Caenorhabditis elegans: one gene and its partners. The protein of the gene in region 3 interacts with the protein of the main gene of each other region in a pairwise test. Each region holds a gene or a part of one and is shown on either strand. Other genes may lie near its edges.

The links.
Region 1: the proteins of tac-1 (region 3) and ddl-1 interact in binary tests that used the Caenorhabditis elegans proteins (3 or more experiments, as listed by UniProt).
Region 2: the proteins of tac-1 (region 3) and dlg-1 interact in binary tests that used the Caenorhabditis elegans proteins (3 or more experiments, as listed by UniProt).
Region 4: the proteins of tac-1 (region 3) and pat-12 interact in binary tests that used the Caenorhabditis elegans proteins (3 or more experiments, as listed by UniProt).

The regions. Positions count from the first base shown.
Region 1 is NC_003280.10:5,646,659-5,649,588, forward strand, and holds ddl-1 (WASH complex subunit homolog 3), read right to left. Parts: upstream 1,227-2,930; 5' UTR 1,217-1,226; coding exon 1,172-1,216; intron 1,123-1,171; coding exon 757-1,122; intron 707-756; coding exon 548-706; 3' UTR 501-547; downstream 1-500. Other genes in the region: F59E12.9 (TFIIS central domain-containing protein), read right to left, coding at 1-122, 170-242, 290-379; sam-4 (BLOC-1-related complex subunit 5), read right to left, coding at 1,530-1,751, 1,870-2,077, 2,124-2,416; F59E12.17 (Anaphase-promoting complex subunit 13), read right to left, coding at 2,471-2,626, 2,700-2,783. UniProt on the Caenorhabditis elegans protein: Acts as a component of the WASH core complex that functions as a nucleation-promoting factor (NPF) at the surface of endosomes, where it recruits and activates the Arp2/3 complex to induce actin polymerization, playing a key role in the fission of tubules that serve as transport intermediates during endosome sorting.
Region 2 is NC_003284.9:5,475,952-5,487,302, reverse strand, and holds dlg-1 (Disks large homolog 1), read right to left. Parts: upstream 7,604-11,351; 5' UTR 7,543-7,603; coding exon 7,521-7,542; intron 7,312-7,520; exon of another isoform or gene 7,201-7,311; intron 7,085-7,200; exon of another isoform or gene 6,807-7,084; intron 6,639-6,806; coding exon 6,322-6,638; intron 6,246-6,321; coding exon 6,027-6,245; intron 5,980-6,026; coding exon 5,883-5,979; intron 5,836-5,882; coding exon 5,745-5,835; intron 5,692-5,744; coding exon 5,340-5,691; intron 5,284-5,339; coding exon 4,977-5,283; intron 4,919-4,976; coding exon 4,450-4,918; intron 4,392-4,449; coding exon 3,868-4,391; intron 3,785-3,867; coding exon 3,502-3,784; intron 3,455-3,501; coding exon 3,333-3,454; intron 3,278-3,332; coding exon 3,177-3,277; 3' UTR 2,362-3,176; downstream 1-2,361. Other genes in the region: C25F6.1 (Condensin-2 complex subunit H2), read right to left, coding at 1-55, 650-807. UniProt on the Caenorhabditis elegans protein: Essential multidomain scaffolding protein required for normal development. Recruits channels, receptors and signaling molecules to discrete plasma membrane domains in polarized cells. Required for proper embryonic elongation.
Region 3 is NC_003280.10:14,750,551-14,757,241, reverse strand, and holds tac-1 (Transforming acid coiled-coil-containing protein 1), read left to right. Parts: upstream 1-3,364; 5' UTR 3,365-3,366; coding exon 3,367-3,595; intron 3,596-3,658; coding exon 3,659-3,995; intron 3,996-4,047; coding exon 4,048-4,264; 3' UTR 4,265-4,351; downstream 4,352-6,691. Other genes in the region: Y54E2A.5 (uncharacterized protein), read left to right, coding at 100-418, 976-1,263; Y54E2A.4 (Activating signal cointegrator 1 complex subunit 3), read right to left, coding at 2,012-2,209, 2,257-2,477, 2,537-2,573; smg-9 (Nonsense-mediated mRNA decay factor SMG9), read left to right, coding at 4,753-4,983, 5,820-6,125. UniProt on the Caenorhabditis elegans protein: Involved in microtubule formation, polymerization and assembly, regulating microtubule nucleation and length. Plays a role in pronuclear migration and mitotic and meiotic spindle elongation during early embryogenesis.
Region 4 is NC_003281.10:734,076-742,462, forward strand, and holds the start of pat-12 (Protein pat-12), read right to left. Parts: upstream 4,904-8,387; coding exon 4,754-4,903; intron 3,606-4,753; coding exon 3,519-3,605; intron 1,553-3,518; coding exon 1,283-1,552; intron 1,226-1,282; coding exon 1-1,225. Other genes in the region: idpp-1 (SXP/RAL-2 family protein Ani s 5-like cation-binding domain-containing protein), read left to right, coding at 6,613-6,867, 6,913-7,098, 7,147-8,387.

The DNA of each region.
Region 1 (2,930 bases), 9.1 Mb from region 3:
TGATGAAAAATCTGCCGAATCAGAATCTGAATCGTCCAAATAATTCAAAATTGGAGGTTTTTCCTTCTTCTCGCTTTTCCGACGTTTCTCTTTCGACTTTGGTGTAACTTCCACGTCATCTTCTGAAAAACTGCCGATAGTCTAATCATTTATTCGAACGGTCGCTCACCTTGTTTTTCCCTTTTATTTTTCTTTTTCTTCCCAGGACGTTCACCTTTCATAAGTGCAAGAGCGACAGGAGCCTAAATTTCAAATAAAGTTTCCATGTGATATTAATTTAATAACTTACAGATTTCATGATGGCATTTTTGAGTAGTTCACCCATGGCTGGGCTCACAAGTTCTGCTTGTGGCGTAGTTACATTTGAATGTGATTTCATTTTGTCTGAAAGGGAAATTAGTATGTATATTATATCAATTTTAAAAAAATGAATAGAAGTATATCATAATCGTTAAAACGAGTTAACAGTGTAGTACATCATATTCCGAAAATTAAAAAATAATGTTTTATACATTTTATGAACCCGTAAAAATATACAAAAAATAAATTAATCAGAGTCAGAGAAGGATGCCGTAGATTCTCCAGAAGATTCATAATTCCGTGAAGTCTGTGCCTGTGGACGAGATGGTTCATCACCGCGTTTCAAAATTGATGGGTCGACGCCTTCGGATTTCATTTTCTGTATTACACCAGCTTCAAGCACTCCCTAAAAAAAATTACAGTATTATTAAAGCAATTTCAAGTGGATAAACTCACCAATTTCAGCATTTTGAAATATTTACTATAAGCCGGGTCGTCTTTGATAAGAACCGTCGTAGTATGTTCTTCTGGTTTCTCTTCCACTGTTTCCTCCACGATTTGTGAAGAGCTGGGATTCGATTCGTGAATTTCGTCTATTTCTGGTGCTGATGATGGTGTGGCGGTGGTTGATTTATCCTCCAAACTCATTCCTGCCAATTTCGATTCCATCAAGCGTAACTTTCGATCGGCAGTGTCTAAACTCTGCTCTGCCTTTTCCAAAATGTCTTCCATTTTATTTCCGAAATTATTGAGCATTTCTGTCATTTTCATGATGAGACAGTTGAATGTTACTGCTGTACGGTGATGATCGATCGGAGGAACCTTAAAAAATTTAGCTTTAAAGTTTTATGATGAGATTTTAAGATATTACCTTGTTCAAATCGATTGCAGGTTTGGTTCTGGAGCTCGCATTCATTGCTGGTGATCTAAAAATTAATTAATGATGCAATTAATTACAAGAAATGGAAATATGAAAAAGGCACAAACCATATAAGTTAGATTCAAAGTAAATTAATTAGATTAATTTGCGAAAAATACTAGAATTTATGATAAATTTAGAAATCAAAATAGGATTGACGGATAAATATGTGCATGAACTAAATAAAAAATCACAAAACGGCAATGGAATTTTGATATTGCGAGAAGAAAGTGAGATAAAGCCTTCAAGACTTTTTGGGAAGGGCGATAGGGCAACAGATTCAAGAAGAGAATAAAAATTTACAAATTAATTATTTTGGTAGATCAACTACGCGGATTTCTTCAATCGGCTCAATTTGATCAATATGACCAATATTTTGATTATGGCGGGGCGTACTTTGAAGTGAGCTATCACTGCTTGGAACGGGAGATCTGTCGAGCACTGAGCCAAGATTAAGAGGAGGAAGACGTTCGTCGGGAGTTAGAATTTCATTAAGCGTTTCAACCATTGGCACAATATCTTCAAGAATTATCTGAAAATTAATTTTTGATAAACGGAGCAAGTTTTTTGAGCAAAAATGTAAGGTGCAACATTTTAAAAATCAATTTTGGTATGATGCATTAAATATTGTTTCTTTTTCTAATTCGCACCTGAATACTACAGATGTCATCGTGCAATTGATTAAGTCCGCTCAATGCAGCCATAAAACCGTCATGTTGTTCTTTATGAGCTCTTGTTTCTTCAATAAGTCTGATCATTTTCGCTTCAACACTCTTGCAAGTTGCTGGAATTTTAGCTTGATCTGCTGCCACTGCTTTCGCATTAACGGCAAAATGTTCTTGTAATCGTGTTGCTAGTCTGAATATGTGACTTTAAAACTTTGAATAAAAGGAATAAATCTTACCGAAAAAAGGGCCGCGAACTGATTTTTTGATGAGTGTAAGAAGCTCCTTGATTCGTTTGTGGATCTCGTTTGCCTATTACGGCTGGAATCACCGGCAAAAAACGGGGAATTTCGGTGAATCTTTTGTAAATTTCATCATCTTCGAGTTTTTCTTGAGGAATATTGCCATCTTTGACCGTGATAATGCCTTTTGATCGTTTAGTACTGGCTCGAGTGAGAAATGAAAAAGACGACTGTTGATTTTGAGGATTAGATGATGTGCCCGCTGTTGACGAGCTTTGTTCGTTTCCCATCTGAAAATTTGTGTAAGAAGTTAAAAAATTACATCAACTTTCACAAACCTTGATTTAATTTTTTGTACTATTGATGGTTGGTCCCATTTGAATTTGATCCAAACCAGTCTCGTTCCAGGTAGTGTTTGGGTCGGCGGGCTGACGAGCAATGGTGGGAATTGCGTCGGTTTCGATATCTGGCTCAAACTCGCGCGGAATTTGAATCTCGGTCTAAAAATGAATAATTTTAATTTCAATACTTACGGGTTTTACACTTTAATTATTCGAAAAGCTTGTCACAAACCTTTGGCAGACGCTGGAATATCCACTCTTTGTCCCACTCTAAAAATGTGTGATCAAGTCGAACTTCTGATGGGACGAACGACATACGATGGCTTTCTCCGAAGTTTCCTTATCCTGTAATCAATAATTTTATGTATTTTTAATCGGAAACGTTTAAAATAAATGGAAAACTCCAAAAAGGAATAAAAAGAAAAATTGTGCAGACCTGGAGAGCGCGTTGAGTTTGAACACA
Region 2 (11,351 bases), on a different chromosome or scaffold from region 3:
GCGGCATTCTGACATCATGTCTGTTGAAAATGCCAAAGTCACTTTCAATCGCTTTCTGAAAATATAAAGTTTGTTTTAGTGTAAGTAGGCAAGTTCCAATACAAAATGGTTTAGAAAAAATTTCTGGGAAAACACCTCTTTTTTCGTTTTTCAACTAAAGAATGTAAACTTGGTCAAAAAATGACAGTTAAAATTTTCTTTTTCAAAGTTTTCAAATAAAATTTAAAATTTCTGTCTAGCCTTGGTGAAATAATACAATGAACGTTTTCTGGTTAAAACTGCTCTTATCCCACTAATTTTTTGATGGGAGCCATTTAAAGCTTGTTCAAGAAGCCTTTTTTAGAATTTTGGTTTAAAAAACTTTAACTGAACACATTGTGAAGCCTAAAAATGTTTGAAGTATTATTATAACATCCTTTTGGATATAACATTTCCAAAGTTTTTTTTATTTAAAAACATTTTTGTTTTTTCCCTGCAACCGCATATAAATTTTTGTTCAAATATTTTTAACAGAGTGAAAATTTAATATCACATTTTTGGACCACAATTTTGGACATACTTCCACATACTGGTTATTTTGGAATTAGAAAATTTCTTGAACGTTCAGAACAATTATTATTAAAGGATTATGAGCTAAATAAAACATTACGTCAAATCATCCTCTTCTTCGTCACTTCCTTCCGACTCTGTGGCGGAATGTGCGAGCACGTCATCATCGTGAACCAGTGGAGGATAAACCGGTCGTTTTGGCATGTATTGATTAAATGCTTGCACTAGTTCCTCTTGTGTCATTTTCATTTTTGCCATGGTTGATCTGGGAAATTTGTTTTTGAAGGTATTTACGAATTCAAAGAAGATATACACAACTACTATATTATTTTGAGATATTCATTATTCATTTTAACTTTTTATTAAACATTATTTTCACTAAGAAATTCAGTTAGTAAACCAGTAAACAAACATTACAATAGAATAAAATTAACTGTCTCATTTTCCAAAAAAAAAAAAACGAATAATAAAAAATAAAGAACCGTCATACAAGTTGGGAATGCAAACAAATTTGTGAGAAACTAGTTAAGAATATCCGATAAACTTTAATACGTTCATAAAGCACGCACGTTCACACGGAAAAGACGTCAACCATCCTATTGACGCGTTTTGTGCGCGCACACGAAAAATTGCATGAAAGGGGGTCACTGACATGACCTAGCTCAATTATTTTACCCTTTATTTTATCTCAATGGTACTATGGTAGAACTGAAATCTTTTAAAGTTATTTAAACCGTAAGCGATATCATACTATTGTTACAGAAAAATTAAAGCGTGAACATAAAAACAATGAAACACATTTAATGAGGCAGAAAAGAGTAAAACAAGTAACTTTGCTATGTAAAAATAAATTAAAAATGAGAAAATGAGGAACTATTCTACAATTATAAACATTCATAAATTTAAAATCAAGATATCAATAAAATAAAAAAGATTGCTCCCGGTGAGGCTCGAACTCACGACCTTCAGATTATGAGACTGACGCGCTGCCTACTGCGCTACGGAAGCACTGAACAACGTCTGCAAAGTAGGATCAAAAGAATAAAAAAATGTTCTTAAATTCGAGCCAGTCTGTGTTTCAAATTAACAAAATGTGAGATAAAATAAATTGCTAGCTTTGACTCAAATTAAAAAATGAATTTAAACAGTTAAATTAAAAATTAAATTAAAATTACAGTTTTCTTCATGGCAACTTATGCTACTTGGGAAAACTTCAAAAAAAAAATTGCTCCCGGTGAGGCTCGAACTCACGACCTTCAGATTATGAGACTGACGCGCTGCCTACTGCGCTACGGAAGCACGTTGTGAACTCTTCACAAAGGACTTGAGAAAGGATGCAAAAACTGAGATCCCAAGTGGGACAGGGATTTGAAAATATCACAACTGTAAATAGTCTAGTTGAAAAATCTCAAATTTAACTCATAGTCAGTAATTAAAATATTATTGATATTTTAAAATCATTCTAATCTTATTTTGCGTTTAAAATACATGTTTTTTTCGTTAATTGAAAGACTAATAAAATATCAGGAACAATATTTCAGTCGAAGAAATATATTAGGCAAAAAAGATTGCTCCCGGTGAGGCTCGAACTCACGACCTTCAGATTATGAGACTGACGCGCTGCCTACTGCGCTACGGAAGCACATTTCGAAACGGATTCTGAAGAGTACTTCAAATCCTTTTGTTTCGGAATTTTTCCAGCGATCTAATAAAATGAATATTTTTAATGACAAATTGCCGCAGTCATTTTCAGAACACCCTGATATACTGAAAATAAAGTTTTTTCTTGTTACTTCAACACATGTATGTTTTGCAGATGCAATAAAATCTTTATTCAAGATAATTTGTATAAAAAGTTTTTAAAAATAATTAAAAAAAAAAAGTTTGGAACCAATGGATGAAAATAAAATGCTCTCAGAGTAATAAAAGTCCCAAAAAATAGAAATGAGCCGAAGTTTTTCATCAGTAGAGAGTCGGGAATATGATAATGATTTGCGGTTAGTAGAGACAAATGAAGCGTTGAGAATATCACAAACTGTCACAATTTCAAGTAAGAAGTGAATTGAGTTGGGGGAGGAAGGAGAGGGAAGAAGGAAGGAAAGCTGGGGCGGATTATAAAATGCAAGTATTTGTAAGGTGAATTTCAAGATAAAATGGGCTGTAGAGAAAACAGGCAGTACAAACTATCGTAGTAAAATATTCGGAGACAAAAGTAGAAACGATTCACCGTTTTCTGGCAGTGATTGTGGAGAGTTATGATTGAAAATGAAAATAATGAGCAAGGTAAAAGAAAAAAAGAATCAGAAAACTATTGAAATATTGGCCTTTCACGTTTCTGAGTTCGAGTAGTAGAGTTTCTTGAATTGAGAACTTGGAAAGGTCATGTAAATTAATGCATAATAGGGAAGGGGTACTAAACAAAATACAAATAAAGATGGGGATGGAAACAGGATAAAGCAAATGACATCAAGAGTTTTTTCAAAGGATCACTTTTCTCAGATTAAAAAAAAGTATCACAACACGGCGTAGTCTAATTATTAAGGTAAATTAAACTGTATATTAATTAATTTCAAGAAGACATATTTCTTGAAGAAACGATTATTTGTCTAAAAAATATCCAATTTCATCTAATGACGTGGCACCCAAATTGGCGTCTGCGATTCACGGCTGATGATGGAGTACACTTTGCTCAAAACGTCATTCGCGCTGTGCACATTTGAGATTTCTTCTGAAATAAATAAAAAATCAGATATTTGATAATAATGGTTGGAAAAAAGACATACGCGTGAACAAATCCCCGAAAGTTTGCTCAATTCTATGACATCTGGAATACTGCGCTTGAGCTTCTTCGCCACTCATCGCTCGATCGTCTTGTCGGTTGGTGGCAAGTTGGCTGTCCAATTCACTGAAATTTTGCAGATTGATAAAGCTTCTTTTTACAATTTAACTTACAGAATCTGTTGTGCAGAGCTGGGCTTGATGAAGATCGAGATTGGTTGAATATTGGCATTGCTTTGAAGTCGTCGGATAGCATTTCCACTGACGTCCAGAATACAGTGTCTTCCTTGGTTGGCGACATCTCGGACGCTTTGAATGCTAGTTCCGTAGAGATTGTTTTGGAATTGTCCCGCTTCAATGAAGAGATTATTCTTGACATCTTCCTCCATATTGTGCTTGTTGACAAAGTAGTAGTCACGTCCGTTAACCTCTCCCTCGCGTGGTGGTCGGGAAGTGTCTGAAAAGGGTATTATGAGTATATTGCACATACTATTTAGAAATGTTCTCTTTTTTAAAGTAGTTAATAACTTCACAACTTACGTGGAACGCAGCTACTGAATTTCGAAGGGTCGCGGTTGACAAGTTCATCGTTGATTCGGTCTTTGAGAGCTCCAAGAATGATCACTGGACGAACGTAGTTGATCGCCTGTTGCTCAACTGCCTGGTAGGACCACACTGGCTCTTCAGCTACATTTGAGGATTCCTCATTAAGATCGTTGAGCCGGTCGGTACTTTTGACGAATGGGAACTTTCTGGAGAAGGAAAGCTGACTGCGGCTTCCTCTTCGGTTTTCCAATCCAGTAGTGCTCGAGTTTCTTCCAAGAGACTGCGATCCCGAGTTGAAGTTGACTTGCTTCCGACGAAGTCGTTCTCTCTTCTCGACACGTTTCTTTGATGGAATCACTCCTTCAGCTGTTTCTTCTCCGTTTTCGTGAACTTTTCTAGCTGTCCACCATTCATCGTCAGATGAGTTGATGATATGTAGGATGTCACCATAGTTAAATCCCATTGATCTATGGGGAGCAACAGAGTTTTCACGTGATGGATCATAATCGAAAAGTGCTCTGAAAGATGTTATTCGTTGATATATGTATACATTTATAAGTAAACAAATCTTCTTACCTAACATATTCAGACTTTCTGCTCAAAGTTCCCATTCTAGATTGAGCAATCACGTCGTTTCTCAGCTTCTCAATTTTGGACTCAAAAATTTGATACTCTTGTGGTCTGTACTGAAGAGTGAGATAAACGGGATTTCCAGCGTTTCTCAATGCTTCAGCTGCTTCCTTATGGGTTGCATTTCTCAAAACAACTCCGTTCACTTCAAGAAGAACGTCTCCAGTCTTCACGTTTCCACTAAGATCAGCAACACCTCCTGGGAGAACAAAACTGATGTAGATGGGCTCATTGTCTTCTCCGCCAACAATGTTGAATCCAAGTCCATTTTGGCCCTTTACAAGTTGTACTGGACGGGGTTCGAGTGGAATTGCGATGGGGGCTTGTGAACTGTAGCTGGTGTTCAGTGGTCCTCCGTAAGACAAATGACTTTGAGATCCCATTTGAGAGCGGTTGTAGTCTTGAACGGAGCTAGCTGAAATGAAATTAATTAGAAACTATATTATTATTTTTGATTCTTGGGATTGTCTTACGTCTGAGAATTGGGGTAGTTGGCATGAATTGTTGGCTCGCCGAGTCATTGAAAATTGCCCCAGTTCCTTGCTGAATAAGAAGTCGAACACGATTTCCAGTGTTTTTGAGAACATTGACCGCATTTTCATGAGTCGTGTTAATCAAAGAGTGATGATCAACTTCAAGAATCTTATCTCCGACTCTTAATCTTCCGTCTAATTCAGCTGCTCCCTCCTCAATGATTTTCGTCACATAGATATCGGTATCTCCTTTAACGTGCTCGTTTCCTTGACCACCAGCAATAGAGAAACCAAGTCCACGTGCTCCCTAAAAAAAGTTCACATAGATTCTTTTGTACTTTGGAAAGAGAAAATGTCGCCAACCTTAACCAGATCAATGACGGATGTATTCGGTCGTGTGGAACGATATTGGCCAACAGATAATTGGCTCAATGATCCGTGATGAACTGGTGGTGGCGGTGGTGGATGAATCGGAGCCGATGGAGAATGAATTGCGTGTTGCAAGTTGCCGGCGCTCACTGATGGAGTGACTCCTGATCTGAGGTAAGAAGTCGACCCGCCAAAGTTTCCTCCAATTGGAAGAAAGGCTTCATCTTTACGCCGTTTCAAACTCAACGAAACAACGTTTCCGGAGCTTTTCAATGCGTTGACTGCAACCTCATGCTTCACATTTTCACAGTTTGTATTGTTGACTGCAGTGATAATATCATTCTTTCTAAAAAAAACATGACCATAAAGTTCTGTTCATCTTAAATTGCGGTTTTTTACCTCATACGCCCATCAGCAAGTGCGGCACCTCCTTCAATAATATTGGTGACATAGATAGAAGTATCTCCGTCTTCTGTTGGTTGGTCCATACCTATAATCAGATATGTTACATCATAAATACCGGTTGAACGCGCATACCTCCAGTAATCGAGAATCCAAGGCCGGTGTGACCTTTCTCCAAGACAATATTCTCAAGCTCCCATTTACGACCATGATCATCGATAACTCCAGTATGCTGAATATATGATAATTAAAACTAATATTGAGCCAAAATTATCTTACTTCAACCACACGTCTTTCAAGACCACTTGGAGTGTCAACTGTTCTTGTGGTTGTTTCCCGCCATGTTCCATCATGACTGGTCTGACGTTGACGCTCATGAAGGTAGTGAGTGCTGGATGAGTTGTACGGAGAAGACAGAAGTCCGTTTCCAAGTCCATTCCCAAGCCCGTTTCCAAGGCCTCCGCCGTTCAAATACGAGAAACCTCCCCGATCTCTCAGCTAAAATAATTTTTTTTATAAAGTATTAAAAAAATCTAGAATCCAAATCCAGAGAAAAAAAGAAAGCAGAGCTTACATCTGAAATAAGTGGAGTTGTGCTTGAAAGGTTGTAGTTCGACGTGGAAGTCGTCGCAGCCGGACGACTGTTGTAGGAGTGTGGTCCACCTTCGAGTCGCTCAATCACACGCCTTACTTCCATATTTTTCTCTGCATCTGATTTTCGCTCGCTGAGCAGCGTCTGCTCGTACAGATCGTGAATGTCGAGCAACGAATGCATCAGGTTTGATTTGAATGTGGTGATAACTCGTTCCAGGTTTGTGCGTAGCTCCTCATTGCCGTGTCTTGTCAGTGTCTGGCAGTAGTCCTCCACATTTTCTATCGCTTTATGCGCTTCTGAAAATACAGTTTCATGTTCAGTTATAATTGTTGTAGGATTATGCACATCCCAAGTCGCAAAGTGTAACAAGTCTAGGTTGATGACTCATTTTGCGGCAAAACATGGTCAACAAAAAAGGTTATCATGCGCTTTCTTTCCCATCCCGGCAAATAACGATGAGTCACCCTGCGAGGATGCGCAATCTCCCTCGTTTTCCCTCCTTTCTCCCCTTTCCCTTCGGAATGTACAAGACTGGCCCCGGAAAGATGTCTCCGATGAATAAAGGGGAGACTCCTGGTTGGACTGTCGGACACGTACACACACCATCACAAACAGATTGTTTTCTCTTTGCCCTCTTTCTTTTTGCCTTCTATTCCTCCCACTGCGTCTTCTTCGCCTTCTTATACAAATATAATGTTTGCACATTCAGAGACGCATCCTCACCATCATGCGCGCCAGAAAGCATTCACCTGGCGGGGAGGAGGAGGAGGCTCCGAGTAGTGTGAACTTTTCGAAAACGTATATAGCAAAATTATTACGTATATGTGTATGTGTATCGAAATGTGTAAGTGTCAACACCACAATACCTCATGAGGCGGGGTGGCCGTATTTGGCAGTTTCGAGGTGATAAGAAGACTGTTGAGATGCGATCATCGCATTGAAGTCATAAGAAGGCAGGGAAAGGGGGAGCGTAGAAAACGCAAGAATGTACATAAGTTGGTGTGTTGCCTTGGCTAATTCTGGTCATTGTGACATTGAGTTTAACGACCACGGCGACCGTAGGAAATGGGTTCGGTGATAATTGGTTAGGAGAAAACTGTGGCAAACAATTGAGATTAGTGGACATTGAACGTTTTGCAAAATAGAAACAGTTTGAAACTTAAATGTCTAGAACTCACTTTCCGATGACTCGTGGGACATGCTTCCTTCCTTCGGTGAGGCGTTCTTCCCACTCCGATCGGTTTTCTTTCGATGCTGGTCGCTGAAAATTGAAAAAATTAAATTGATCAACAAGTTTTTGAGACTGAAAATAGAAATAGACGACTGGTTTTAATGCTTCTAATAATCTAAAAACAGAGCTCGGTAAGAAGGAGGCATTGAAGACGAAAAGGAAAAACTGTGCGGCGATAAGACATAACTTATCAGAAAGAAACAAGAATTTACGGCAAACACACGCACACACACACACACATACACACAAGCAGGCCGCCATTGAGTTTGTTTTAGCGAACTTGATGTAAATAATAGAAACAAGATGCAGAGCAAAACGAGCAGGGGAAGGAGTAAATGAAATTTTTTGAAAAATCTAGGAAGATTCATAAATCATAATCCATCGTGGATAGAAAAATAGAAGGATATCCCGTACATAGAAGATGGAAGACGCTAGGTTTCGCATTTCACTTGTGTCGAGTCATGGATATGTTTATTTTTTGTTCGGCAATTCCCACCAACTATTGGTATGATTCAGTAGGTTGGATGAGGGGGAAAAATATAAATATTCCTCTCGTCTTCCTCCGGGCGGGTCGCATCTTACTCTAGATTAGTATCTACCAGAAGGGAAGACTGTGTGTGAGAGATCTGATAGATATGCTTGAGTAGAAGAAGAGGTAAAAAAGAAGGGCGTTTGGGTATAAACGGTGGGGGTCTTCAACGTTTATTGGACACCAACCACCTCCGCCGGTGGTTTTATTATAGACGCGAGGCGACAAACCGCACCATCGGAGAGGGACCTGGTAGGAGGAGCGGGGAGTCGATTGTTTTGAAAGGTTGTCATCTAATTCAAAAATTAGTAAACTATTATTAGGTATTTTTATCTTTGGATATTTTGTAAAATTCTGAATTTAAATAAAGGAGATTAAGTTCGGAGGGTTTTGGCTCCCTGGAAGGTTTCATAATGAGTCCTGAAAAATAAATCCAAAAATTTTGGATTAAGTTTATTTAAATTAACATATTCCTACAATTTGTCTTTATCACAGATGCCAAAAATATATACAAGCCAGAAATTTTAAATTGTTACCACCCCATCACGTCTCTTTAAGTTAAATAGTTAAAATTATCTTCGCTCTAAAATGTATGTTTCATTAGAACACTAACAATTTTATCTAAACAAAATGGGGGTTTTATTAGAAAATAATGCCATAAAATTGTATAGTTTGAAATTAATGGTCACAGACACGTCTGCAAATTTGAGTTCACAAAAAATATATTTCAATAGCCACTTGATTTCCAAAGAACTGAACAAAAAACAGGAACAAGTCGACTTGAAACAAATCACAGTGTCGAAACATAAATGGTCAAGATGAGAAGTGGAACAGACCCGGCCAGCATAGAAAAAACAACACTAACTTATGCGTCACGCTGTGTGTGTGTGTGTGTGTGTGTGTGAAATTATATTCAACATGTACAAGCCAACGGGACATTAGTCACGACATGCGGGAAGAAGATAGCGAACGTCGTCTATTGTACCAAAAACATGCCGGGAACAAATGCGCCAAAAAAGTTGTGGCGAGGCGAATACTCTACTACTATTTCGAAATATGGAATTAAAAAAGTCATATTTTTTTCTATTTTTTTAAAAAGGTTTTTTTAGTGCGCCTTGACTGTAGCGATTTTATGTACTTTTGGGATTTTATGACTAAAATGGGAACACAAAACGTCTAAAATATACCCATACCTTAGTTTCTTGATTTTATTATTACTGATAAAAATATCAGCATCAAAGAATGTTTGCAAAGTGACTCATATATTGCACAAAAATAACCGTACAAAAGAGTTCATAAAGTTTCCAAAAAAACATACACTTGCGATCTCACGACATCTAAACAACAATGTACAGATGTTTAGTAAAAAAGGGAAACACACTAATACATTCCATAGAAGTAACAGTGCAACTAGAATGTTAGAACATCGATAGATAGACAAATACAGAACTGAATCGAATCAACAACCGATCATGGGACACATTGGGAAAACGCAGTGAGAGAGGAAAAAAAAGAAGAGCCAGGTAAAAAATCACTGCAAATCGATTGATAAAAACGAGGAAACGAGAAAACGAACGGTATGAGAATCGAACGGCCATCTCACTGCTTATATGTGAGCGTCGTGGTTTTGCTTGTAATGGCCATAAAATCGGAGGCCCCTCAATACGAAGAAGCAGAATAAGAAGAAGAAGCAGAAGGAAAAGGAGCGGAAAAGCAAGGGTGCTGGTTTTGGCTGCCGCAAGATAATAGTTTCTCAACAAATATTATCATGACAAACAATCAGTACGATGAAAATGCGACACAGTGTTGGAGATCAAGTGTCATTAGAAACGGAAATGAGTCAACCATTTTATACTAATGAGACTGGCAACTCTTACCTTTCAAAATGATTTTTTCTTTCAAAATGACACACTTGATACAATGAAGGAAAGAAGGGAAGAGAAAATTATATATGTATATGCATGATGTGCATGACAAGTCGGCTCTATTGATAACATGTAAAACGTGTGAAAATATAGAGGGTAAGATGTAGATAGAATAGTATTCACTGTATAACGACCGACATAGGCGCTGGTGCGTGGAGAAGAAGAGACGAAAATGCTTATGCATCTTTCATTCTCTGTGGGGGACTTTCTAAGCTGACAAATAGTTTTGCGCCCTCATTCCTAAAATGGAGATCATTCGCGAAAACAGCAGGGGGTTTCAGGTCTTTGCACTTCCTAGACTAATCATTTGGAATATGTGAGAAAAAAGTGAAGGGGTTTTATTTAGATTTGTGAAAGGAAAAGTTGTAAGAGTCAATTAATTAAAATATTATTAACTGAAACATCAAGAGGGTTTAGATATAACGCAGCAGAGAGAAAAAGGATTAGATAATCCGAAGATGTTTCAAGGACATGGTTTTTGAGATCACTAACAAGGGGGCGCCCACTCACTAAAATTATGCAAGAGAAGCGACTGTGCCCCGGAGTGCGAAATCAAGAAGAAGAAGAAGGACAAAACATGCGGATTATGCGGCCCATTGTTTTATTTGAATAAAACATATAGACCGGTCACTCGGTCCTCATTTTCAAACGCGCCAGACGTTAGTTGTTGCTTTAAGAGCCCCCGCGACGGCCGACTTACAATCACCTCTTATCTGTTCTGGCAGGCATGTGCGGAGAGCCAACACAGAGCCACCCCGACTAATCATTAAAACATGAGGGAAACATTGGCAGCGACAGATAACAAGAGATGCGTTTTTTTGCTATTTGAATTGGAAAAAATTATAATTAAATTGAAAAATTGGAATAATAAATAAATGGAAGTTGGAATATTGACTGAAAAATTTCAAACTTTTAACTCAGCTTCAATTTTCATTTAAAACACAGAAAGTCTAGCTTTTGTCTGAAATATCTAATTCAATGTAGAAATATTGAGTTAAATATACTTTCAATGTAAAATTTAGAAGAAGAAGAGAAGCTCAGTTGCACTCATGTTTTCTTGCATCACAAAAATAATCAATTTATACTTACCCCCAACAGCTGACTTGTTTTTAGTTTCCGGATTGAAACGTTAAACCTCCTCAAACACTTTGTTAAAATTTAGTTCCAAAAGTATGTTTTCGGAAGAAACATTAAATTTTATCAAAATGTGCTAAATTGACAAGAAACTCAAAAGTTGAAACTTTATTGAAACTATAATAATTTACTTGGATCTCCGGAATTTTCCGATTTTGTTAGTAAGGTGGGTTAAAAACATTTTTTTCTG
Region 3 (6,691 bases):
ATGTTTTAAATTCTGAGTGGCCCGACAAGCGCTTAGGCCGGCAAAATACGGCCACCGATGTCTAGCGACTACGACATGAATCTCAATTTCGACTTTTAGGCCATTCAAATACTCGCAAAAAGTCCGGAATGACTTCCAGCTTCTACGAGTTAAAGCTCAAGAACTGGAAATTCTGTCGACAAATCGGATACTCGGAATACGAAGCGACGCGGACCTGAGCACGCTGATCTCATGGCAAAGCGAGCTGTGTCGTGACGATACCGTTGGCTTCGTGCTGGATAAGAACGTCAGCGAGTATCGTGTCAGCTGCGTGTGGACGGGCTCCTCACAGCTTGGACAGTGCCGTGCGGTTCCGCCGAAGTACATGGCGGAAGTGTACAGCTTTATTGAGGAGGACGAGTGGGAAGAGAAGTTGCAGGTGGGGAAAGAGTTTTAGATTTTGAAGGTGGTGTAGTCGAATTTTTTTTTGCTTATTAGACTTGAAATTGTCTAAAAAACGAATTTCATAATTAAAATTCTTGAAAACTTCTCAAAAAAAGTTATGGCGGCTCAAAAAATTACTTAAAATTAGTAAAACTAGAAGTTCGACTTGCCAAACGGTTGGAAACTAACTTTTTTGAAATTACCGTCTAATTTTGGGTGTACAATAATTATCATGCGTTTTCAACTCGGTTTGAAAGGCCAGAAGACCTTAAATGTACCTAAATCGAGTTGAAAACGCAAGTTAATTAACTTATACATCCAAAATTAGACGACCATTTCAAAAAAGTTAGTTTCCAGCCGCTGACAAGTCAAATTTCAAATTTTAACGAATTTTATGTCATTTTTTTTGAGCCGTCATAACTTTTTTTTTTTGAGAAGTTTTCAAGAAGATTCATTAGGAGATTCGGCGTTTTAGACAATTCCAAGTCTAATAAAGCAATTTGTAGAAAATTCGCCTAGTTTAACCAATTTCTCACAGCTTTTCTCATTCAGAAAGTGCGAAACGCCATCGGATGTGACACCTCGGCAGCCGTCAACTTCCAGGAATTTGTAGAAATCAAGCCACCGAAAACGAATGGAGCTCATGGTGCATCGATTAGAAAATCCGGAGGAAAAACGAATACAACCGCAATTCGCTATGTGAAACGTCACAGAACATTGTCCGAATTCGTGATTTGCAATGATCGTTGTGTTCAGGGAGGAATCGGATATTCAGCCTCGTTGGTCATCATTTTGGCGTTGGCAATCTCGTTTTTTAAGAACTGTATTCAGGTCGAATAAATATGAGCTTTTTTTTGCGAAAATCTTTTTTGTTGTTTTTTAATTTTTTTTTTCTAAATTTTTGTCATGATTTTTTATATTTTGAAAACAAAAATAAAAAGGGCTAAACAGAAATATTATTAAATTTTAAATTCCCGCGCAAAGCGAGTGACGTCATTTTCGACATTTTTGCGTTTTTCCGGCTATTTTAATTGATATTTCTCTGTTTTATAACTTGAAACATAATTTGTGGATTTTTCAGACATTCTTTCGTAATGAAATTTGCTGAAAAATTGAAGAAAAATCAATTAAAGTCAGAGAACGCGAAAGTGACGTCACTTTTTTTACTCTGGAATTCAAAAAAAATCAGTTCTTTTGACCTTTTTTTTGGCCTGATTTTGGCTTTTTGGTCTTTTTGGCCTTTTTTGCGTTTTCCGACTGTTTTATCTGGTTTTTCTTTATTTTTCGTTATGTCACAATTTTAAACAAAATTTATAAAATTTTCAGAAATTTTTCCGTAAAAAACTTGTTGAAACTCTAAAATTAGCCTAAAATCGATAATTTAATTTTTGAAAAACGTTTTTTGTGGAAAAATGTCCGAAAAATTGACAAATTATGTTCCAAATTGTAAAAAATGGAAAAAAAATAAAAAAAACAGCCAGAAAACCAAATTCAAAAAATCAAAAAAAAATTAGAAAATTTTTATAAATTTTTTCACTGTTATATTCTGCCATTTAGAGCAAATTTTTAAAATTTTCAAAACTATTACCTTCGCCTTCGCCTGCCTCGCATGCTCAACTTTCGCCAGCTCCTGGCTCTTCACCTCGAAAACTATTTTATTCCGTTTTTCGAGTATATCTCCGGCTAATTCGAACAATTCGACGCCGAGAAGATCGATGAGCTCGCCCTGTAGATCCATATCGGAACGTGTCGAGCACAACATTTGTAGAAGGTTTTGGGATATTGTCTGAAGGAAAATAGGTTAGAAACTTGATTTTTTAGCCGAAAATCAACCTCAAACGTATCTGGAAAATATATAAGCAATGTGTCAGCAATCGGCTGAAAAATGCTCCCAGAGCCCGAGGTAGAAGGCACTTGGGGTAGGGAAAGAGCTTCTGGAGCTTCTGAAAAACCTTCTTGTTCAGCTTCACAATTCGACCATTCTAGAAATTCCGATGGAAATCGAATTTGAATTTCCTGGTGGAAGCTTGCTACCCGTGATGGTGAGGGTGGATCTGAAAAAACATCTGGTAAAAATTTTTTTAATAAAAAAATGGAAAAAAAGCTAACTAACCATCTCCAATTCGTTCGATATAGTTGAGAAGATCCATTTTGTACCTAGTTTGGCAGCTGTAAAATTAGAATTAAAATTAAAATGAAAAACTATATTTTTCAAGAGAGAAGGATGTTCAAACATTGTTCAAAATTTCGCAATTTTTGAAAAATCGATTTTTTTCTGAAGTTTTAAGTTTTAATTACTTTTAATTTCTATTTTGTTTAATTGCCAAATATTTTTGTTTTTTTCTCTGTTTTAAGGTGAAAATTAATAAAAATGAACAAAATAAGGTCCTGGCCGCTTCCCTTCTCTGACCTAGCGCTTTCTAGGCCAACTGCACTTTTATTTGGCGGTTTTTTATGCAAAAGTGTATTATATTAATTTTTTTCGCAATAAAGATGTGTTTTTAATCATTAAAATAGTTTAAAATGAAGAGAAACATTGAAAATTGAAAGATAACAAAAAATGTTTTTAAAAAAATTCTACAGTACTTTTTAAAGGCGCAGTCCAATTTTTGTATTGATTTTCCCGCCACGATTACTCTTGTGGACTCTTTTTTCGTGCTTTTTTTGTTGTTGGTTATGGTTTTTACTGATTTTTTTTGAATTAAAAATTAAAAAATGACTTTTTTAATTAAAAATTTGTTTCAATTATTTTGAAACCCTCTTGTAAAGCCTTGTAAAACAAGAAAATTGAACTACAGAAGTTTTAAAGGCGCATACTAATCTTCAAAACAATTTTCCTACCACGAAAATAAATGATGACGCGGGAAAACTGAAGAATCGTTAATTTTCTCCGTTTTTCACGAAAAATGTCGGTTTTTTCTATTAAATTCATCCGATTTTCAGATGTCGCTCAACACAACCTTCACCAAAGAGGACGGAACCGAGGTCGTCATCCCATTCAACGGGTCGCAAAATGGGCATCCGGAGAACGAGGAGCCAGAGGTTGAAGAAGCCGCGGAGCCCAGTTCTTCAGTGGAGACACTGTGCGGTGCCACGAGAGGCGACATCATTGTGATGAAGCACACGACGAAGGCGCTCACAGAGTTGATCGAGCGGCTCTTGCACTCGGATGGTGAGAAGCTTTGAAAAATTGCTAAAAGAGATTTTAAGAGGAATAAAACCATATTAATTTCAGAATTCGAAGTCCGTCGCTGCTCAAACGGCCAAATCATCTCACAAGGCCGCTGCAACGGAACAACGCCAGGAAACGGCATCGGAGGCGGCGGGGCATCAAGCGAGGAGCTCGAAAAAGCGCTGAAAGATCGAGATGCCGCCCGTGCCGAAGCCGACAAGCTCCACGCCAACTACGCGACACTGTTCGCCTCGTTCAACACGGTTCGCGAAGCCGCCAACGACATCCGCGGCGAGTACGAGGACGCGAGGGACAAGCTGAAGCTCGCCGCCGCCGAAGTTGACGAGTGGCAGGCAAAGTTCCTCGCCGTCAAGGATAATGCGAATTCTGAGCTTGAGAGGTGAGTGAGAGAAAATTTAATTTGCAACATGTAAGAATATATTTCAATTCAGAGCATCCGTGGAGTACGACGATCTTCTCCGATCCCACGATGAGAACACAAAGGGACTCCGTCTGCGTGTAAAACGCCAGGAAATCGAGCTCTCCAGCAAGAACGACGAGATCAAGGTGCTCACGAACCGCGTGTCGGAGCTCTCACAGATTTGCGATCAACTTCTGAATGATGTCGACGTTTCCGATGGGATGTCCGTTATTTCGACGGATGCATAATTTATTTCTGTAAAATATAATATTTCTTCCCCCCGCCTTTTCGCTTTCCGCCTTATATTTTCTAATTGTACATGAATTTTTCAGCTTATTTATTTGTTTTCCAGATTATTTGTATGAGAAACAAGTACAAAAGGCTTCGTTTCAGTATTTTACCGAGAAAAACTACAATCTTCTAAATTTTCGCGCCAAAGATACAGCGCCCGGTCTCGACACGAAAAACATTTGCCAAATGCAAGCATGTGTGCGCCTTTAAAGTGTACTGTAATTTCCAGGCCGAATTTGTTTTGATTTTTTTAGTTCTCACTTGTTTTTCCAAACAATTTATGCGTTGTTACGAGGTTTTTGTAATAAAAGTCAATAAAATTCCTACAGTAATCTTTAAAGGCGCACACCTCTTTTCAGACTGCCGCATGGATTTTGAGCGAATTTTTTGATTAAAATGTATGCAAAACTTTCAAAATTTCTATTAAAATCTTGCAATTTTCCAGATGAAAAAAGTGGAAATTCTGAAAACATCTCGGCCATCATCTGCAGGAGGCGCTGCCCGACCCTCCACAGCGAGCCCAACTCATGGAGCACCGAAAATCGCCATCAAAACACGTCCGGTGGCCGATGACGTGGCGCCTACCGCCGCTACGGTCATCGAGCCATCGCAAAAAGCGATGAAGGAGTCTGTGCGATTTTTGACGGATTTCGGAGAGATTTCCGATGCGATTTCAGTGTGTTTTTTATTTTAATAATTTATTATGGAGACGCAGAAAAATGGCTTCTTGAAATTGGAGACGTGAAAACGCGCTCCACCGAACTATGGGTCTCGTTAGGGTTTGCTCGTAAATTCAAATGCTTCCAAAATTTTAAAAATTAATTTGAAAAATGTTCAAGCATTTTTCGTACTTTTTCTCAATTTTGAAGCATTTTTTGTGTTTTTTCTCAATTTTGAAGCATTTTTTGTCAAATTTCTTAAGTTTTTTGTGCTTCTTGCTAATTTTAAAGCATTTTTCGTATTTTTTGTCAATTTTTTAAGCATTTTTCGTCCCTTTTGACAGTTTTCAAGCATTTATCATTTATAATTTCAACAAAAAATTTCAACACATTAAAAAAACAGAAGACGACGAAAAAAACGAAAAATGCTTGAAAATTGACAAAAAAAATTACAAAAATTGCTTGAAAATGTTAAACAAAAAACACGAAAAATTCTTGAAAATTGACAAAAAATTACAAAAAAATTCTTGAAAATGTAAAAAAAAACACGATAAATGCTTGAAAATTGAAGAAAGAAGCACGAAAACTACTTGAACATTGACACAAAAAAATTACAAAAATTGCTAGAAAATTGAAAAAAACATTACAAAAAATGCTTGAAAATCGACAAAAAAAGGTCGAAAAATCCTTGAAAATTGACAAAAAAATTACGAAAAATAGCTTGAAAAAGTTCAAAAACAAAAAAACGAAAAACTTGAAAATTTTTAAAATTACGGTTTCGCCGCCAAACAACTAACGAGACCCATTATTCGGGGGTGGAGTTGACCGTGGAGCGCATTTGTAATTTTTCCAGGATCTCCTCACATCGAGCCCCAACTTCAACGTTATCTCTGCGATCGGGCCGCAGGGCGCCGGAAAATCCACATTGCTGAGCATGTTGGCAGGGAATAATTCACGTCAAATGTACAGGGAATACGTTTTTCGGCCAGTTTCTCGAGAAGCCAACGAACAATCACGACATCAAACAATTCAAATCGATATTTATATTGTAAATCATCAAATTTTCTTGGATTGTCAGCCAATGTACAGTTTTTCGATTATGGAAGGCCTTCCGAAGGTTCGAGGTGGACGATTCGATGATTCCACTGCGATGAGTGATGTGAGGAAGCATTTTAGACACAAAAAATCGGAAAAATTGGTTTAAAGGCGCACGAAAAGTTCTGTAAAGGTCTTGCCACGAAATTAGTTTTTCATTTAAATTAATGAGATCAGGGGTGGACGGATTTTCGCCAACAAATTCGACAAATTGCCGATTAGCCGGAAATTTCAATTCCGGCAATTTGCCGATTTGCCGGAAATTTTCAGTTCCGACAATTTTCCGGTGTGCCAATATGCCGGAAATTTTCATTTTCGACAAATTGCCGATTTGCCAGAAATTTTCAATTTCGGCAAATTTTTTGTTGAGAAATTCGGCAATTGCCGGTTTGCCGATTTGCCGGAAATAATCAATTCTGGCAATTTGCCGATTTTGCGATTTTCCGGAAATTTCAATTACGGCATTTAACCGATTTGCCGATTTGCCGGATGTTTTCAATTCCGACAGCTTGCCTGAAATTTTCAATTCTGACAATTTGCCGGTTTGCCGATTTGCCGGAAATTTTCAGTTCCGACAATTTGCCGATTTGTGGGAAACTTTCAATTTCGCCAAATTTTTTTATCGACAAA
Region 4 (8,387 bases), on a different chromosome or scaffold from region 3:
TTGGAGCTTCTTCTGGTTTTTCTACAAATGTCTCACGACGCTTCAGCAAATCCACATCGTAGGCTTCTTTCTCTAACAGTTGATCAGAAGTAATAATTTCATTTTTGGCAACATCTCTAGGACGTTCAACGATGTACGTTCTCTTCCAACTAGTTGGAGCCTGCTGCGACGGTGGCTGATCGATTTGGTCAGATAACGCTGATATCGGTCTTGTCTCGTAAACTTGAACAGGATTAAAGACGGGTTCTGGATCTCTGTACGGTTGTGGTGGAGGTGGAGGAGATGGATAGTATTGCTGTTGCGGTTGATGTTGTTGATGCTGTTGAGGCTGGTGGTGGTGATGAGAAACTTGAGGCTGTGGAGAGATCGATTCCATGATTGGCACAGGTGACGTCATTCCATGAGACCTTTCGTAGAGCTTTTGTTGTTGCATCATCGCATTGACCTGTTTGGCCATGCTCACCGCTTGTTTCTCGTTGGTGCGTTGAATTGCTTCATACTCTAGTCGCTTCTGTCTCTGATACTCATCGATTCTTTCTGGATCATTAAAGTTCTTAGCAAGCACTGAACTAGGTCGTTCTCGTTCTTTCTCGGAAACTGGGGGCCACACAACGACTGATGGTTCTGCGTTTCGAGAATAATGATGAAGCTCGATTTCCGATGCGGAGAAATTTTGATGAATCGGTCTTGGTCCACCGTTCATATCTCCGGATGGATCCACTGACTGGCTCCGAGGATGCTGTTGATACTGTGGCTGTTGCGGCTGGTTCTGCCCTGGATTAACCTGCTCCAATCGGAAAAATGGACCATTAAAGGAGGTAGTAGTTGGTCTTGGACCATTAGGACCACTTCTCATATTTCGATGCCTTTGCAAGTTTTCATGCATAATTCGAGTTTTTTCATCTTCACTAAGATCTTCAAAGTGAGTCGGTGTCCGACGATCCGACGGTCTTGGATGCATTTGTTGAGGGTTCAGGGATGTCTCTTGGCTAGACTGATGATGATGTGATTCCGTAAGATTTGTCTGCGAATAGTACTGTTGTGAAGAGTACCCTTTGAGAATTGATCGTGGCTGGTGAGTTGGTGGTGGGCTCATTAACCGCTCTGGATAGTCAATGTCTGCTGGAGCCTGCGGCGGCGGAGGTGGTGGCGGACCTTGTGGTGGAGCACGCTTCACTTGCACATTTAATTCGGAAGGTGCTATTGGATTGTTTTCGTAGACTGACTGTAATTTTTCGGATAAAGATTTGGGAATAAATTTTTTTTAAAACATCACGCTCACTTTTTCAGGTGGACGTATTGCAGGTTTGTGTTCACTTGCAATGTTCTCAGTACTTCCAGGTGGATATAATAGCTGTGACTTGTACAATTGTCTGCTAGAAATGGTAGTTGTCGATGGTTGTTGCTGTGAAGGATGTGGCTGGTGCTGTATCGTCTCTGCAACTGGAGGTGGTGATGGTGGTGGTGGATGGTGTTGTTGTGGAGGATGTTGGATCTGTTGACTACTGTGGATATATGACGATGATTCTACGTGGTATGATGCACGACGTTCCTGAAAATTATTCAAGATTATTTTAAGTTAAACTTTTTTTAATTTTTTGTATGTTTTTTCCTTCCTCTACATCGTTTCTTAAAACTTTACTGAACACAATTCTAGACCTCTTCAACTTCTGGAATGTATGGCAAACTGATAGTAGGTTTTGTCCCAAAAACCGTGCCCCGGCGTGGTGGACGCGAAGAATGCGATCGAGATGACGTGGAGGATGACGCCACTCGAGCCAGATATTCTGCTCGTAACTGCCTGACTGTCGAGTACGGCGGTTCGGTATTGTCGTCGTTGGTTGAGGACATATTTGGATGGAAGCCTAATTGTCAGTAACTTTTCTATATAATTCTCTAGGATTTTTCAATAAGGCAAGACGAGATCTCAGTGGGAGAAAAGAAAATAGAGTAACTATAAATATAAAAATTATAGATTTGGTCAAAGATGAGATCATTTCAATGATGGACACTTTTTAATTTTGAAAAGGTATCTTGTTAGAGAATTTTTTTTAAAAATCGATTTCGCCAATAAAAGTTAACAAAACAATATCTCCGTGATTTTTGAATTTGCAACTTTCCAAAAAAACTCTTTTCGAGGGCAAAAAATGAAGTGTTGAGCAGCGAGAGCCGACCACTACGGTATGTACTCGAATAAACAGAGAATCCCAAAATTGTGAGAAACGCAGGAAACGAGAGTGCTGGTGTAACGATGAAAAAGAATGGTTTTGAAAAAGAAGTACAACACAATGTTGGACATTTTTCTCACCCGCCCAGCAAACAGAAGCAACAGTGATTAGAGATGGGTGCCTTGCGCTCAGAGTTATGTCTATTGACCACAAAAGTTTTTGAAACAATAGGTATGTTAAAGCTGTTCCGCCGAGAAACATTTGGTTGCAACCATCAAATTTAAAAATTGAAATAGAATTGAAAAGATTGAACCTAGATTCTGGCACCTAATAATGAAAAAAAACACAGTGCTTTTGAGGATAATGGGGAGCCAGAGACTTAGTGAGAGGTCGGAGAGACGCACCCGGGAACTCCTAGGATTTTGACGAATGTGTTTGTCTTTCTTGTTTCGTATGTTAAAAACGAGGGATAGTGGAGAGAAAGACAAAACGAAGCAAAAAGCGCCAGGAGCAACACAGGGGAGGAGGAGGTTAAGGCACGCACGAGCATGAACACTTATCACCATGAGCACACTATTCGGGTCAAATGCGTGTTTCCCCGGTGCGCGGAACATAAGAACGACGCGGAACGCATGACGGTTAAGAACTACTGCAGAGAAATGATAAATACATCTATGTGTGGAGATGACTGGGATTTAACGAATTTCTGTAAATGTTTAGGAATACGTTTGCAGGTGGTGTCAGGCTCTCCCATTACAGTGTGGTCTACGAAAAATGCGGGAATTTTTTCCCAAAAAAATTGTGGTGTCAGCACGCTCAATCATACAAAAAAATCAGATGTCTGTGTCTTACCTCCCGCATTTTTTGAAGATCAAACTGAATTGAGACATTCTGACTCCAAGTGCGTTTGTTACACTAATATAATCTTTTCAGAAGTTGAAGTGAATTTTAACAAACTAAAGTAGAATTTTCGATATTTATTTCACTTTCATATAATACATAGTGGTGGCATAGAAAAGTTATTAGGCCTTAAAAACAGCTCCAGAGAGTACTATAATTTTATAAGATCTCCTGGGTCGTTGTAGAACTCCTATGCAGTAAAAAAATAGAATTCGGGGTAGATCCTTATGTTTTAAGCTATGAATTGGACTTCAAGACTTGCTAAAGTTGTAATTAATTAACCTATTTCTCGACTTGGACATTTTTTAGCTTTGAAGATACTCCTTTTGGAGATGACTATTTACTAGGTAAGTCTGATCGTTGTAATTCTAATGGTTTGATACATTGGTTCACTAGATCCTTAATTTACAATTTTTCAGATATTCAAAATTGTTACCAACTAAAACATACCGAATACTTAGCCAAATGGAAGTCTTTCCTCAGTTGCCAGTGCAGCGGATCTGTACCTTCCGACTTCTCGTTGTCGGGTGCACCAACCTGTAATCAAAACTGTTTGTATTTTAGGCAATTTGTTTCAATGTTGTTCAATTCGAAAATTGCTTTGTTTTTATTTCGGATTACTGATTCAACAGTCAAAGCATCACCCCCACGCATACACCGACAATTATTGTGGGAGGTGCGCGAGCGCGGGCGCCTGCTACTGCTGCTCCGAACAAACTTCGAAACAAACAATTTATGATTGCGGTAAGAGATAGAGTGAAGATAAGGAAGCAATGAAGGTTCAAAGTCAATAGGATTTTCTAAAAAAAAAATAAAGCATCAAATATGGAAAAGGAAATAACATATGATGGTCGAACATGATTATTTTGGAATATCAAACTAGATTAGTTCGTTTTTTTTTTGTCACCAAGAAATTAAAAACCTCAACCAATACTGAATTTTAGTCTTATTTTTAGGCAATAACAATTTTGAAAAAAAACTGAAAGTTAACTAAAAAGGAATATATGCAATGAACACTTTTCCTTTCATTTTGATCTTAAGACTGTATGATCAAGACAAAACCTAAGTTTGAGCCTAAACATAATTCTAAGTACAATCCTAAGCTTAAACCTAAGCATATACCTACGCCTAAACATAGGCCTAAGTCTAAGCTTATACATACGCCTAAGTCTGAGCCTAAGCCTATGCTTATACCTACACCTAAGAATAATGTTTATCTTATAGTTAGGCTTAAACGGATTACACTGCACCCTAAGTCTGAGCCTTAAACTACGACTAAGCCTTAGTCTCGTTATGCATCATTTTTAACAAGAAACAAAAAATTCCTACAACTTTAACCTGAAAACCTCTAAAAAAAACCTACTCATTAAAAAAAATTTCAAAAAAAAGGAAAATCCTCATAAAAATGAAGGAGGAGTAAAGAGGAAAAGAAAAGAGTTTCAAATTCTATCCGTCAAGCCCCCTCTCTCGCCGCGCAGAGCCTCCAGCAGCCACACATACAGTTTGTGTGTGCGTCGGCGGAAGTTTCAAGAGGCTTCTATTCGATCGAAGGAGAGATGTGTTAAGCGAGAGAAAACTCTTCGGCAGAGACACTATTCGATTTGGCGTAGAGCGCAGGACGCAAATTTTTTGGTGGATCTCATTAGTTGAGATTTTTTGGGTTGAGAGTATAGACAGGGGCTTACTTTTCCAGTCGGAAGCTGGTCCATTGATCTGTACTTCTTAGGCTCATTCACCTTTGAGGTGTGATCCAAATATCGATTTTTGCGCATTTTGATCAGCCATCCAGAATCTCCCGGAGATATTGGAGAAGCTTGAGGTTGCTGAAAACTCATTTATTGTTCAACGAATGCTCCGTTTTGAAAACCTGGAGTACCCGAAAACATCCCCGTCTACTCACCGGATTTAGCTGCTCGAATTGTGACGGCGTAGGCAAGACTGACAAATCGCTCATCGATTGGGAAGTTTTCTGAATTTCGGCTGACGGCTCTCTACACACTATTACGCTTCACACCACACCGTGTAGTTTCAGGGAAGTTGGTCAGTAGGTAGTAGGAGGATCCATGTGTTGTCGTTTCCAAGCCAGGGATATCTTTTTTAAAGGAGGGACAACACAGTATAACATGCACATAAGGACAAACAGGAAGACAAACAAACATGCAAGAAAGGGGATATAGACTTACTCTTTTCAGCGTCTCGATTCTCTGGAAACAAAATTATAAAAAATGTTCTAGTGTGAATAAGGTAACCCTAAACCAATGACATCTCTTAATTTTGTCAACTGGGTAATCGGGTCGATTTTTGAAAATGTATTTAACAATCTTAAAATAAATTTTTTTTTTCAAGGGTTCGACAAAGTTTGTTGGTCATCACTTGTAGGCTTTGTGTAATACATTTGTGATGTATTGCCAAATTTTCCTTATATTTTCTAATTTAACTATTTGAATACCTAGATTTATGCGGAACTCCGAATTACTTTTTAACTATACTTTTCATGCAGTGCTATGCATGCTCACCTGTTTCATGGTTTCAAGCTCCCTCAGGCTCTCATCATTCTTCTTTGGTCCAGGCCACCCTGGTTTGTTCCATGGCTGATTGGCTTCGTTTTCCTTTGCCTAGAACGTTTAATTTTATAATTTCATGACTTTATTAAATTAAAATCACCTTCAAATACTCTCTGAGCCGGGATGCTTCCATCTCACGATGGCGATCGACACTCTCGGCGAGATAGTTGCTGGTGGTGATTGGACGCGATTCACTGCTCTGAACATGATATAAAATTTTATTTCAGTCTTCAAAAGTACGGCTTACTCTGAACCGACGTTGCTCGAGCGGATCAAGTTTGATCTTCGACTTGCTATGCTCACTTGGGAAGTCTCCGGCTAGGTTCCGGCGGGGATCCGGAATTCTCGTGGAGATATATGGCATGTTAGCATTTGTGATAACCTGTAAGAGAAAAGTATATTGAGACCAACAAATAAGTTTAAAATAATGAGTCACTTATACAGAGCCTAATGATTTTGTAAAATAAACGTTTCTCGCGACGCAATCTGGCGCTGATCACTGTGATTTTTTTGTCGTAAGTTGCACTTTCTTCTAAAAGTTCCCTAAAGTTAATTGTATTTACACGATTTTTGAAAAACTACAAAATTTGAACTTTCTCTCTTTCCTCCCTCCCCCTTAACTAAATTGATGCGGATCTCAAATGCGGAAGGAGAAAGCCAGGTTGTTTGTTGATTGCCTCGTTACCCTCCACAAATGCTCAACTATTTTCCAGGTTAGTGACCCCATGATCGGCTTTCTTAGGTAGTGAGACTGTTTTTCTCTGGCTCCGTGCTTGCGCGCGCGCACGCAGAAGTTTACTTTCTAACGTTGTAGGAAAAAATGACCGTGTGTGCTCAAAGGAACACACATCGCGATCAGGTAGACTAGGCCTAAAGTATTTAAGGAGTCAACTGGGAACTTTGAGAAAGAAACCGTTTAATTTTCCCTTTTCCTCAAATTTTTCTTTGGTCGCCGTAACTTCTAGATTTTCCAGCAAACGATGAGGTTGCTCATTGTGCTCTCCGCACTACTTATCCCTTGTTTGGCGCAGCTTTCCGAAGACTCATCGGAACTAGAATTTGGTGGGCAACAAGCTCAACGTCCATCTCCCGATGGACCATTGTTCCCTAGATTCTTGATGCATGTGCCTAGATTTGCTAGAAAAGAGTTCTTCGACATTGTTAGTAACGATCAACTCTCTCAAGATCAGCAAAATGAGCAGCTCACAATCTGGGCCAAGGCATTCAATGTGACGGTAAGTACTACCGTCCTTTAAGTTTGAGACACATTTGATTTTTAGGACGAATTTAACGCTTGGACAAAGAAAATTCAAGAACAAAAAGAAGCTGTGAGCAAGAACGTTGAAGCCGTGGCTTCTAATATAACCACAGTATACACCCAGCTAGAAGAAATTCTTTCGAATAGCAACCTGACCCGACGTGACCAACATGATCAGATCAGAAAGCTTGCTACCACCTTCCCAAGGGTATGTTTTTGCTCATACTCTGCTTTATCTAAAGATTATGGTTTTCAGGAAGTCCGCGCTTTGTTTTTCATTGCTCGCAACTACCGTCCTGAAGGCAGATCTCCAATTTTCGGTCAAGGAATAGGAATGGGAAAGAAGCCACAATCCTCGATGGTTCCATTTATCTTCCAACAACAGCAACCACCAATGATGATGTTTGGGCAACAACCGTTTATGCCTGCTGGGCCAATGATGATGAACAGATTCCAACAAACTGGGTCACAGCAAAATTTCCAGTCTAGAAGAGGTGGAAGGGGGGATGGTCCAGGATTTGTGCCAGGAACTCAGGATAATAACCAAAGAGGGTCAGGAGAACGTGGGCAAAGGCAGAACTTTGGACCATCCGACAATCTAACCAATGGAAATCAGTTTTCTAAGAAACAATTTGCCCGAGGACCTTCATCAATGAATTCTGATTTGTCAGAAAATTCTCAGCACAGTGACTCAAATAGCCAGTTCGACTTCCCCAGAGGACCAGGAGGACGTGGTGGACGTGGACAGGGACCAGATTTCGGACCAGGAGGTCAAGGAGGCCGTGGGCAAGGACCAGACTTTGGACCACAAGACGATTTCCCAGGGCGTAGAGGCTCAGGCGGTCCAGGAGGACGTGGTGGACGTGGACAGGGACCAGATTTCGAACCACAAGATGATTTCCCAGGACGTAGAGGCTCAGGCGGCCCAGGAAGACGTGGTGGACGTGGACAGGGACCAGATTTCGGACCACAAGATGATTTCCCTGGACGTAGAGGCTCAGGCGGTCCAGGAGGACGTGGTGGACGTGGACAGGGGCCAGATTTCGGACCAGGAAGACAAGGAGGCCGTGGGCAAGGACCAGATTTCGGACCACAAGATGATTTCTCAGGACGTAGAGGCTCAGGCGGTCCAGGAGGACGTGGTGGACGTGGACAGGAACCAGATTTCGGACCAGGAGGTCAAGGAGGTCGTGGGCAAGGACCAGACTTCGGACCACAAGATGACTTCCCAGGACGTAGAGGCTCAGGCGGTCCAGAAGGACGTGACGGGCGTGGTCAGGGACCAGACTTTGGACCAGGAAGTCAAGGAGGCCGTGGGCAAGATTCAGACTCGGGATCTCAGGATGCCTTCCCAGGACGTAGAGGCTCAGGCGGTCCAGGAGGACGTGGGCAAGGACCAGACTTCGGACCACAAGATGACTTCCCAGGACGTAGAGGCTCAGGCGGTCCAGAAGGACGTGACGGACGTGGTCAGGGACCAGACTTTGGACCAGGAAG